Rattus norvegicus: one gene and its partner. The protein of the gene in region 2 interacts with the protein of the main gene of each other region in a biochemical or structural test. Links are inferred from orthologs where the notes say so. Each region holds a gene or a part of one and is shown on either strand. Other genes may lie near its edges.

Region 1 (4,770 bases), on a different chromosome or scaffold from region 2:
CTCTTGGTCTAGCCTCAGCCCTCCTGCCTCACCCTCCCAAGTACTGGGCCGGCAGACAGGAGCTATGAGTGAGGCTGGTTTTCACTTCGCTTTTAGCCTGTATTTTCTCCCTAATCCAGAGTGTGCCTTCTCAGCTCTGCTGCAGGCAACATGGTGTGGGCACCTTAGCATGGCTTCGCTTGTCTGCCCGGCTGTACCTGGCCTGTGTGAAATCCTGAGGAAGCTGTCCTCACTCTGGTGTGTCTGTGTGTCTGCCTCAGAGGTACAGGAATTGTCTGGGTCTGTGTCTCCCAAAAATTGATAAGCCGTGGAACCCAGTGGCTAAATTTGTGCGTGAGGAGTCCTCCCTCACTTTGGGGAGCAATTCTATTTTCTGGACACAGGAACCCAGACTTGTCAACCACACACCCTTGCAGGGCCCATTGTCCCCAAGTCCTGTCGCCTTCTGCCAGCCTTGCTGCCTCAGCTCCTGTCTCCCCAGTCTTCCCATGGCCCCAGACCACCCTAGGAGGAGTGTGGCAGCCCATCCAGTCCCTCGGGCCACCAGAGGACAGGAACAAAAGGCCGCCTGCATCTCCCCATTGCTTTCAGGCCTGATGTGGGCCGAAGCCCCAGAGAAAGCCAGAGGGGTGTCTCAGGCCAGGGTGAGGAGCTCACAGAGTTGGGGAGGAGGAGTTGCTGGCCCTTTGGAGAAGTAGGGGCGTTGCACAAAGCAGTCCCTGTGTCCCTTGAATGCACGGCTTTATTGGGTCCCGACAGCCAGACCGGAGTGCCCAGCACATTCAGGTCAAACCATCCAGCCTTGGACCGGCCTCTCCTGGGGAGACAGGAGCATAGCTGCAGTGACCCAGTCTTGGACTTCACCATGGCCCCATGGGCTCTGTGCAGAAGGGTGCCTGAGTCTCCACAAGAAGGGGCCCCTCTTTGAGTCGTGTGTGAGTCTCAACAGAGTCCTCGCAGTTCAACACCCCCACTTGGCTCCTCCAGGGTGAAGGAGGTGAGCCTGACTCAGAAGCACCAAGTATAAACCCGGGCTTGGGTTGGAGCCCTAGTCGTGGGCACTTGGACTTTGTGATACTTCCTTTGTGGTTCTGTTTCTCTTGAGGGGCTTGAGAAAACACTTACGTCAGGAGAAGGGTCAATCTAAGCTTTACCGGACTCACAGGGGTCATTCTGTTGTGGGAGAAGCGTCCTGGGTGCTAAGGTGTCCAGTAGCATAATGGGCCCTGCCTAAGTGTAGTCAGTCATAGCACATGCAGTGGTCCAGTGGTGGGATAGACCTGTGGGGTTCCAGAGACTGGCTGGGGCTGAGGAGTAGCCTGAGACAGAGATGGCAGGGAAAACTCTATGAGCTGCTACCCATCCACACACAGTAAAGTGCCCATCTTGGATGTGTTACCCTGCCCAGAGCAACAAGGAAACCATAGTGGTGGCAGGAGAGAGCTAATCCTGCTTGGGTTTGAGGTTTGGGCCTGTGTTGGCTTCCAACCTCTCCTCAGTTCCTCTCTCTGGTAAACACAGAGCTGAGTCAGCCACTTTGCAACTGAACTTGGTGGCCTCGGGGTCCCTTCCCTCTTGTACAGCAGGGAGTGCTCCCCCAAGGTCTTCCCTCCATGACTGGGGAGGCTCATCCCTGGGCCTCCGCCTCAGGCAGGGCCTTCAGGTTGCCTGCTGTCTCTCTGCTGAATCCAGTGCCCTGCAAGACTCCTGGCACCCTGCCTGTTGCTGGGGGGCTCTACTGGCACCAGCTGCAGCCAGCTGCTAAGCCTCGGCCCATCGGAGTCAGCAAAAGCACCCGCTTAAGCAGTATCAAAATAGCCTTTTCCCTTCCCAGCACCGGAGGGCTTTTCCTCCTTCTAGAGGGGAAATAAAATAAGTCGGAAAACGGGGAGGGGTGTGGAAGGGGCCCAGGGATGGGGCCTCTGAAATAAACGAGAATCCCAACCAGAGCAGCACCAGGAACGTGTCTAAGGCCTTCACTAGAAGGAGCCCATTTGTGTGCTTGTGTGGTGTGTGTTCTTAAATGTTATCTGTGTGGCTAATGGTGTATGTGTGTGTATGTGTGTGAGTGTGTGTATGTGTGTGTGTGTGTGTGTGTGTGTGTGTGTGTGTGAGAGAGAGAGAGAGAGAGAGAGAGAGAGAGAGAGAGAGGAGAGAGAGAGAGAGAGAGACCTTGTGTTTCCTGGGGTGTCTGAGGTGTGTGTGTGTAGCAAGTTTGGCCCATTTTCTGCTATCTTTTTGGGTGTCAGAGTATTGAGGTATTTTGGGGGGCTGCATGTGGGGGTGCTGAGGTGTGTAGGGGTGGTGAGCTGTTTTGAGGAGTGTCAAGACTGTGGAGCATCTGAGATTTAAGAGTGTTGACCCCATCGTGGCCATGTTGGGGCATACAGGATTATAGACCTTACGCTGTTGTTTTAGAGCCCGTAAGAGCGTTGGAAAGTTGATGTAAAGAAGAATATTGGGATACAGGACTATTATTTTGGGGTGTTGGACTGTTGCTTCAGGGTGTTCAGGAGGTTTTCGGCATTAGTGTGTGAGAGTGATGACATAGGAACTTGGCTATTTGGTAGATGAAGAAGGGTTGAGAGCTGAAATATTGGGCTGTTTTTGGGGTGTGTGGAAGGGTTGGGGTGCTGGTGGGGAGTTGGACTATGTAGGAGTATTGAGATAGTCTTTTGGGGAATATACAGGCAGGGTAGGATATTGGTGGCAGGGGATGGGTATGGCTGGTGTGTGTGGGAGAGTTGGGTATGACTGGTGTGTGTGGGAGGGTTGGGTATGGCTGGTGTGTGGGAGGGTTGGGAATGGCTGGTATAGGGGGGAGGGTTGGGAATGGCTGGTATAGGGGGGAGGGTTGGGAATGGCTGGTGTGTGTGGGAGGGGAGGGTTGGGAATGGCTGGTGTAGCGGGGAGGGTTGGGTATGGCTGGTGTGTGGAGGAGGATTCTGTATGGTTGGTGTTGGAGAGGTTGGGGTATGTGGGAGCAGTGGGCTGTTGTTTCGCGGGTGGGAAGGTTGACATATTGCTTGCTGGGATGTGCGAGTATCAGGGCATTGGAGAGCCCTGAACTGGGCTGTAGTATTACATATGCGCACTCATGTGTTGCCTCTGCAGTATGTCCACATCCCACTCCAGCCCCACAGGAGCCCCTCTTCTTCCCACTGTCCCTCTCCAGGCCCCAGAAGTAAAAGGACCCTAGGCACAGGGATTCAAAAACAAGTCCCTTTCTGAGAGCCAGGCCAGGCCTAGCATCTCTGAGGGTCAGACCGAGTCTTCATGAACGTCCATGGTTGGGACCGTGCCGTGTTCCGGACAGAGTCTCTGAGCTGTGTTCTCCCCTGTGCCCGAGTCCTCAGCCTTATGTAGATGGGAGCCTTTGGCTGCTGACCCGAAAGTCTCACGCACGCGCCCCTCTGCCCCACAGCGGAGCTGGAGTTCGTGCAGATCGTGGTCATCGTGGTCGTGATGATGGTGATGGTGGTGATGATCACGTGCCTGCTGAGCCACTACAAGCTGTCAGCCCGCTCCTTCATCAGCCGACACAGCCAGGCCCGGAGGAGAGACGACGGAGGACTGTCCTCGGTAAGCGGGTCCTTGGCCTAGGATTCCGGCTGCTGCGCAGACATGTGCGCAGAACACTCTGACAGACCGCTCACGTCACCACCCCCCATCTGGGCGCTCATGGGAATGGGGATGAGGAAGGGCCCAGAAGCCTGCCGCTTCCTCTAGTCAGAGGAGCAGGAACTGGAGGCGGATAAGGCTCCGTGTGCTCGGAGGTGCAGGAGGCCCAGGAACGCGAAGGTTTGGAGGGAAGCTATGGGTTTGCCCCTCTGAGGGAGAAGTGAGGGTGTGCCTGAGCCTGTGCGCCCAGCACTGCTCCCCAGAAATGGTTCCCAGTGCCTTCCCAGAGGGATCAGGAAGTGTCAGGTATGATTCTGCGGGCTCCCCAGAGGAGCCCCACTGTGTGAGGCGGGGCTGGGTGGGACCTGGCGTGGTCTCCATAGCTGTGGGCAGAGTAGGCACAGCTTTAGGGTGGCAGGTCAGGTCTCCTGAGGCCGTTGAGAAGCCAGATGAGACAGAGTGAAGAGAAGGCAGCTGCTGCTTGACTGGGTGCCCACCAGGACAGAGGTGTGGGAAAGATGCCCCCAGGTCTTAGGGCTGTGACCTAGATGGAAGGAGGTGGCGGTCCCAACCTCTCACCAACACACCACTTGGGCCCGTGTAGTCCAAGTGTCCTGGGAGGCCAGGGAAGCAACCAGACACCGAAGCCTCTCCCACAGCCTGGGCCTCATCTGGTTCCTCAGGTGTGGTGAACCAGCACTGGGCGCCTCCTGGGCAATCCAGGCTTGACATAGTGAGCCAGCCATCTTTGACTGGAAGGCAACCTCATCCATGTGACGCCTCACCCGCTAGCTCTCTGCTGAGCACTCTCTCTGTGCCCAAGCTCCCCTGGCACAAGAGACTGTAGGCAGGACCATCCTAGGACCATCCTAGGACTGGGTGGCAGAAAGTCATACTCAGGCGGGGGCCCCCACGCAGGGGGCTCCCAGCTTTGGGGGAAGCTGTGCATGAGAAGTGCAGGCGAACATTTCTGAGCCTTAGAACTGGAGACCTGACACTCTTAGGAGGGAGGGAGGACCGAAACATAGCCAGCCTTGGGATCAGGGTTCAGTGTCCTGGGGCGGCAAGCATTCCCATGTGTGCCGGTTCCCTTGGTTTTTTTTTTTTTTTTTGTTTGTTTGTTTGGTTTGTTTGTTTGTTTGTTTGTTT
Region 2 (4,770 bases):
CTCTGTCTTTACAGGGGCCGTTTGTCTATCTGTTTATGTGTTCTTAGGAACTATTTCCACCTTTTAACGGAAGTGGCTATTTCAGACCATTATCAGAGTCACTGGTATTAGGAGAGAAAAGTAGCCACAGGGGAGACTTCATTACCATTTGTCTACATAGACTGTTGCTCTATGAGATACCAAGAGGATCACGTGAGTGTGGTTTGTCTTACAGGGACAATTACACTCTGCAGATAAATCCAAACTCGGGCTTGTGTAATGAAGATCACCTCTCATACTTCAAGTTCATTGGCCGTGTGGCTGGGATGGCGGTTTATCATGGCAAGCTGTTGGATGGTGAGCATTGAGGAGCAGACTTTTTTTTATATGTTTTTTGTTGTTGTTTCTTGGTTAATAGTCACCCTAAAAATATTTTGTTTCTTACAAGGGTTTTTCATCCGCCCCTTTTACAAGATGATGCTTCAGAAACTGATAACACTGCACGACATGGAGTCCGTGGTAGGTCTCTCTCATGCGCCGGAATCTGGAGGATTTAATAGCCAGTGGTTATTTGCAGAATTGACTTAGTGGTGGTCGCACTTGCTGAGTGTGTGCTGTACCACCAAGCTGCATACACAGCCCAATTAATTTATAGTAAGAACAGAAATGAATAAATTTTCATGTGTCAAAATATAGATAGGGGCTAAGGAGATAGCCCAGTGGGTAAGAGCATTTGCTGGGCACCAAACAAAATTTTTAAAAAGTCCCAGGACCTGGGTTTACATCGTGCACCTCATAGAAAGTGGGTTGTGTCTGTGAGTGTCTGAAGCCGCAGCACTGTTGGCAGCAGAGGCTGGACGGTGTCTGGGCTCAGTTCCAGGATCAGCGAGCAGCCCTGTCTCAGCGAGGCAGAGCAGAGAGTGACTGAGCGGGGCCCATATCCACCACTGACTATTCTTGTGCCTCCCTCCATCAGTATCTGTCTGCCATGCACTGCAGCTATTAGTCACTTCTGCTGAATTCCTTTACATTTACATATCTTTGTGTATGCATATAGGCACCCACATTTAGAGATCAGTTTTCTGCTTCCTTCCCTCATGTGGATTCCAGGGATTGATTCTGCTCGTTTTTTTTTTTTTTTTTTTTTTTTTTTTGTTGTTGTTGTTGTTGTTTTTTTTTTTTTTTTTTTTTTTTTTTGGTTTTTTTTTTTTGGTTCTTTTTTTCGGAGCTGGGGACCGAACCCAGGGCCTTGCGCTTCCTAGGCAAGCGCTCTACCACTGAGCTAAATCCCCAACCCCCTGCTCGTTTTTTTTAACATTTATTTATTATGTATACATCATACATTTTCTGCCTTCATGTATGCACCTGCACGCCAGATTATAGATGGTTGTTGGCCACCATGTGGTTGCTGGGAATTGAACTCAGGACCTCTGGAAGAGCAGATAGTGCTCTTAACCTCTGAGCCATCTCTCCAGCCCCTGATTCTGCTCATTAAGTAAGGTGGTACCTGCCTTTACCCACTGAGCCCTCTCTGTCGACAGCTATCTGCTAATGTTCTAAATTTACACTTAGTTATTTTTATTACATTTGTCTGTTTGGGGGAGGGAAGCATTGCTTATACATGGGACCCCTGTGGAGGTCAAAGAACAGTTGGCCGTAGTTGCTTCTCTTGTTCTGTCAGGTGGGTCCCAATACCTGAACTCAGGTCATCATGCTCGGTAACCTCACAAAACAGTGAGGAGTCTTTCCAGACGCCACAAAACAGATAATCTCTTTCATCACAGTTTGAGTTAGACTTATTTTTAATGAATGGCAAATGTTTAAAGCCTCCACTCCAAAGGCAGGGTATTGTGGGGTCTCCTAAAAGGAAACAGAAGCCTAAAGACGAAGTCTTGTGTATGGCCCTGTGTAGTGTGAATACACATGGCTTCCATATCACAAACAATATGATTTTTATTTTTTGTGTATGAGTGTTTTGCCTGCATGTGTGTATGTGTACCTCAGTGGCCAGAAAGCTGTGCTGTGGCTGCTAGCAATCAAACCTTCCGCAATTGCAGCCAGAGCTCTTAACCACTAAGTTGTCTCTCTCTAGGCCCCATGGATTCTTTGTTGTGCTTTTTCTTGTTGTTTGAGACAGTGTCTTATGGAGCACAGGCTGGCCTCCATAAACGCATCATGTAGCCAGCCATGACTTCTGGGTGCTGTGATTATAGGTATAGGTACAGCTGGTTAATGCCTTTCCAGGAATCAAACCCAGGGTTTTACACATGCTAGTAAGTCCTACACCAGTAAGTGAGCCACATTCCACATTCCCCGGCTCCAGCAGGGGTCTTTGGAAACTGTAAGACAAGAGCACATAGTTATTGTGTGGGTTGGTTAGAATAGTATATTTAATTTTAACGTTTAAGTACCGTCCAGTAATGAACTCAGACATTCCACATACAATCTCTCAATCCTAGTGCTGGAAATTCAGGTGTGTGCTCTGTGCCCAACTTTTCATGTTACGGTGGGGATCCTCATGCTTGACTGAGCATCTCCCCAGCCCATCAGTGTAGATGTCATGCATGTTCATGTACCTTTCTATATACAGATTTTTTTAAGTGCTGTTTTAGCTCAGTGGTAGGGTACATGCCTAGAAGATAGAATTCTAGGCTAAGTTCAATTCCTAGCACTGCTTACTCACTTAATTAGAGTGCACTTTTCCTTCTAGGATAGTGAATATTACAGTTCTCTGCGATGGATTCTTGAAAATGACCCGACGGAGCTGGACCTGAGATTTATCATAGATGAAGAGCTTTTTGGACAGGTCTGTGGACTTTCAGATTCTATAAACGTCATTTCCAAAGCCAGTGTTGTCACCTAAGTGTAGTGCACTCCAGTGCACCTGAGACACTTCTCTGTTCAGCTTGTGCATTTATTTTCTCGTGGCAAAAGGTGTCTCTCAGCCAGCATTTGTACTCGCCACTGATGTGTGACTAATATTTAAGCTTTCTTAGCTTTTAACTTTTGAATGGATTTAATCCAAAGCACTAGGCTTCTGGTGTAATTCATGTAGTTTTCTCCCATTTTCCTCATGAAAACACTCATGTTTAATTTAGACACATCAACACGAGCTGAAAACTGGTGGATCGGAGGTTGTGGTCACCAACAAGAACAAAAAGGAGTATATCTAGTGAGTACTTTACTTCTAAGTATTTTCCTAGAAATGATTGAGCTGTTTTTTCTACTTTTCCTCCTCTTCTTCCTGCTTTCTCCTCTTCTTCTTCCTTCTCCCTCTTCTCTCTTCCTTCTCCTTCAGAAGATTTTTCCTTTACTTGCTCTTTCTTCTCCCCCCAAGCCACAATCAGTTTTCTTAAGAAAAGCACACCCTAGTTCTCCCTGTTTCTTTTCCGATTTTTTTGCCTTGGGCACAGCTAGTCTATCTGTCTCTCAGTGGAATAGACATATCTGAAAACATTTTTCATGGTTTGTATGGGGGAAAAAACAGAAAGAAATGTTTTTATTTATTTTTTTCTCCTTTTAGCCTTGTAATCCAGTGGCGATTTGTGAACAGAATCCAGAAGCAAATGGCTGCTTTTAAAGAGGTGGGTACCCCACATTCATTGCTTGCCATACCAGAGCTTCAAAGACCCTTTTTAGCTGTGTTTTTAGGTTGATTTTATGTTTTTCAAATACTGTGCATATGCATGCCCATGGAGGCCTGTGGAGGACTCCCTGGAGTGTCAGTTGGATCCTGATTCTTCCAGCCCCATGACCCCGAAATAAGACTCAGACTCAGCATACATTTACATACATTTACATGGACCCTGGCCTTATAGTTAGGATCTTCTCTGAGGAGAATTAGAACTTAAGAGAACTTTATTCTGCCACGTGGCTGGTTACCTCTGCTCAGGTGCTGTGTGGCAGTCTCACTATATCTTCCTGGGCAAATCTTCCTGCTCTGGCTGTCTTGCACAGTTAGAATCTTACTGGGAAGTGGGGACAGAGGGCACAGTGAGACTAAGCTGGGGACTAGAGGAGCAGAAAAGAGCTATGAGCAAGTAGCTGTGCCTGTGGTGAGAATGAGTGTCTTCAGTCCTGAGTGGGGCTGACGAGGAAAACGCAGGAAATTAACAAAGGTGCAGTTGACTCACGATTGGGGACTTAGGCAGGATTACTGCAGGTCCCAGGCCAGGACAGGATTCAGTAGGTGAAGGAGAGGAGGAGGAGGGAGCAACAGAAGGGGTGAGGCCCGCTGAGGGGGCTCACCTCCTGCAGTGGGCCTGGCCAGGATGGGGGATGGGCTTCTGTCTGCCTCAGTCTCCTCAGTACGTGTAGAAGGAATGAAGAGGGAGGAGGGAGGATTTAACATAGCCACTTTGAGAAATAAAGACAGGACGGCCACATTAAGATCACAGTGAAGGGTTGTTCATGAAAGTATGCTGGCAAGATCTGTGTAGGAGTGAGTGTTCCATCCACAAGATGCTTGAGCGTGCCAAGCCTGCTAACCAGCTTTGGGCACATTCCTTTCCTTCTAGGGATTTTTTGAACTGATACCACAGGATCTGATCAAGATATTCGATGAAAATGAACTAGAGGTAACAACTGTTTGTGCTGTGCTTGGGAATGTAGTTCAGTGTTGAGCAGTCATGCAGGCCCTGAGTTCAGTCCTCAGTGCCACTGGTGTGGAGGCGAGGGCATGGAGGAGTGGGGAGGAAGGGAGAGTATGGCAGTTTGTGGAGAGAAAGTGGGGAGGAGGAGGGAGGGTGTGAAGCCGTGGGCGCCATCCGCAGCACGGTGTAGAAGGGTGTG

What was found. The genes of interacting proteins can lie anywhere in the genome.
Region 1: the proteins of Nedd4 (region 2) and Pmepa1 form a complex in vitro, tested with the Homo sapiens proteins (2 studies listed by BioGRID, with this or other methods). The link is inferred for Rattus norvegicus from reciprocal best matches to the Homo sapiens genes NEDD4 and PMEPA1.

What each region holds. Positions count from the first base shown.
Region 1 is NC_086021.1:182,436,799-182,441,568, reverse strand, and holds part of Pmepa1 (protein TMEPAI), read left to right. Parts: intron 1-3,424; coding exon 3,425-3,582; intron 3,583-4,770. UniProt on the Homo sapiens protein: Functions as a negative regulator of TGF-beta signaling and thereby probably plays a role in cell proliferation, differentiation, apoptosis, motility, extracellular matrix production and immunosuppression.
Region 2 is NC_086026.1:82,337,320-82,342,089, forward strand, and holds part of Nedd4 (E3 ubiquitin-protein ligase NEDD4), read left to right. Parts: intron 1-214; coding exon 215-336; intron 337-427; coding exon 428-498; intron 499-2,689; coding exon 2,690-2,785; intron 2,786-3,077; coding exon 3,078-3,151; intron 3,152-3,502; coding exon 3,503-3,563; intron 3,564-4,496; coding exon 4,497-4,556; intron 4,557-4,770. UniProt on the Homo sapiens protein: E3 ubiquitin-protein ligase which accepts ubiquitin from an E2 ubiquitin-conjugating enzyme in the form of a thioester and then directly transfers the ubiquitin to targeted substrates. Specifically ubiquitinates 'Lys-63' in target proteins.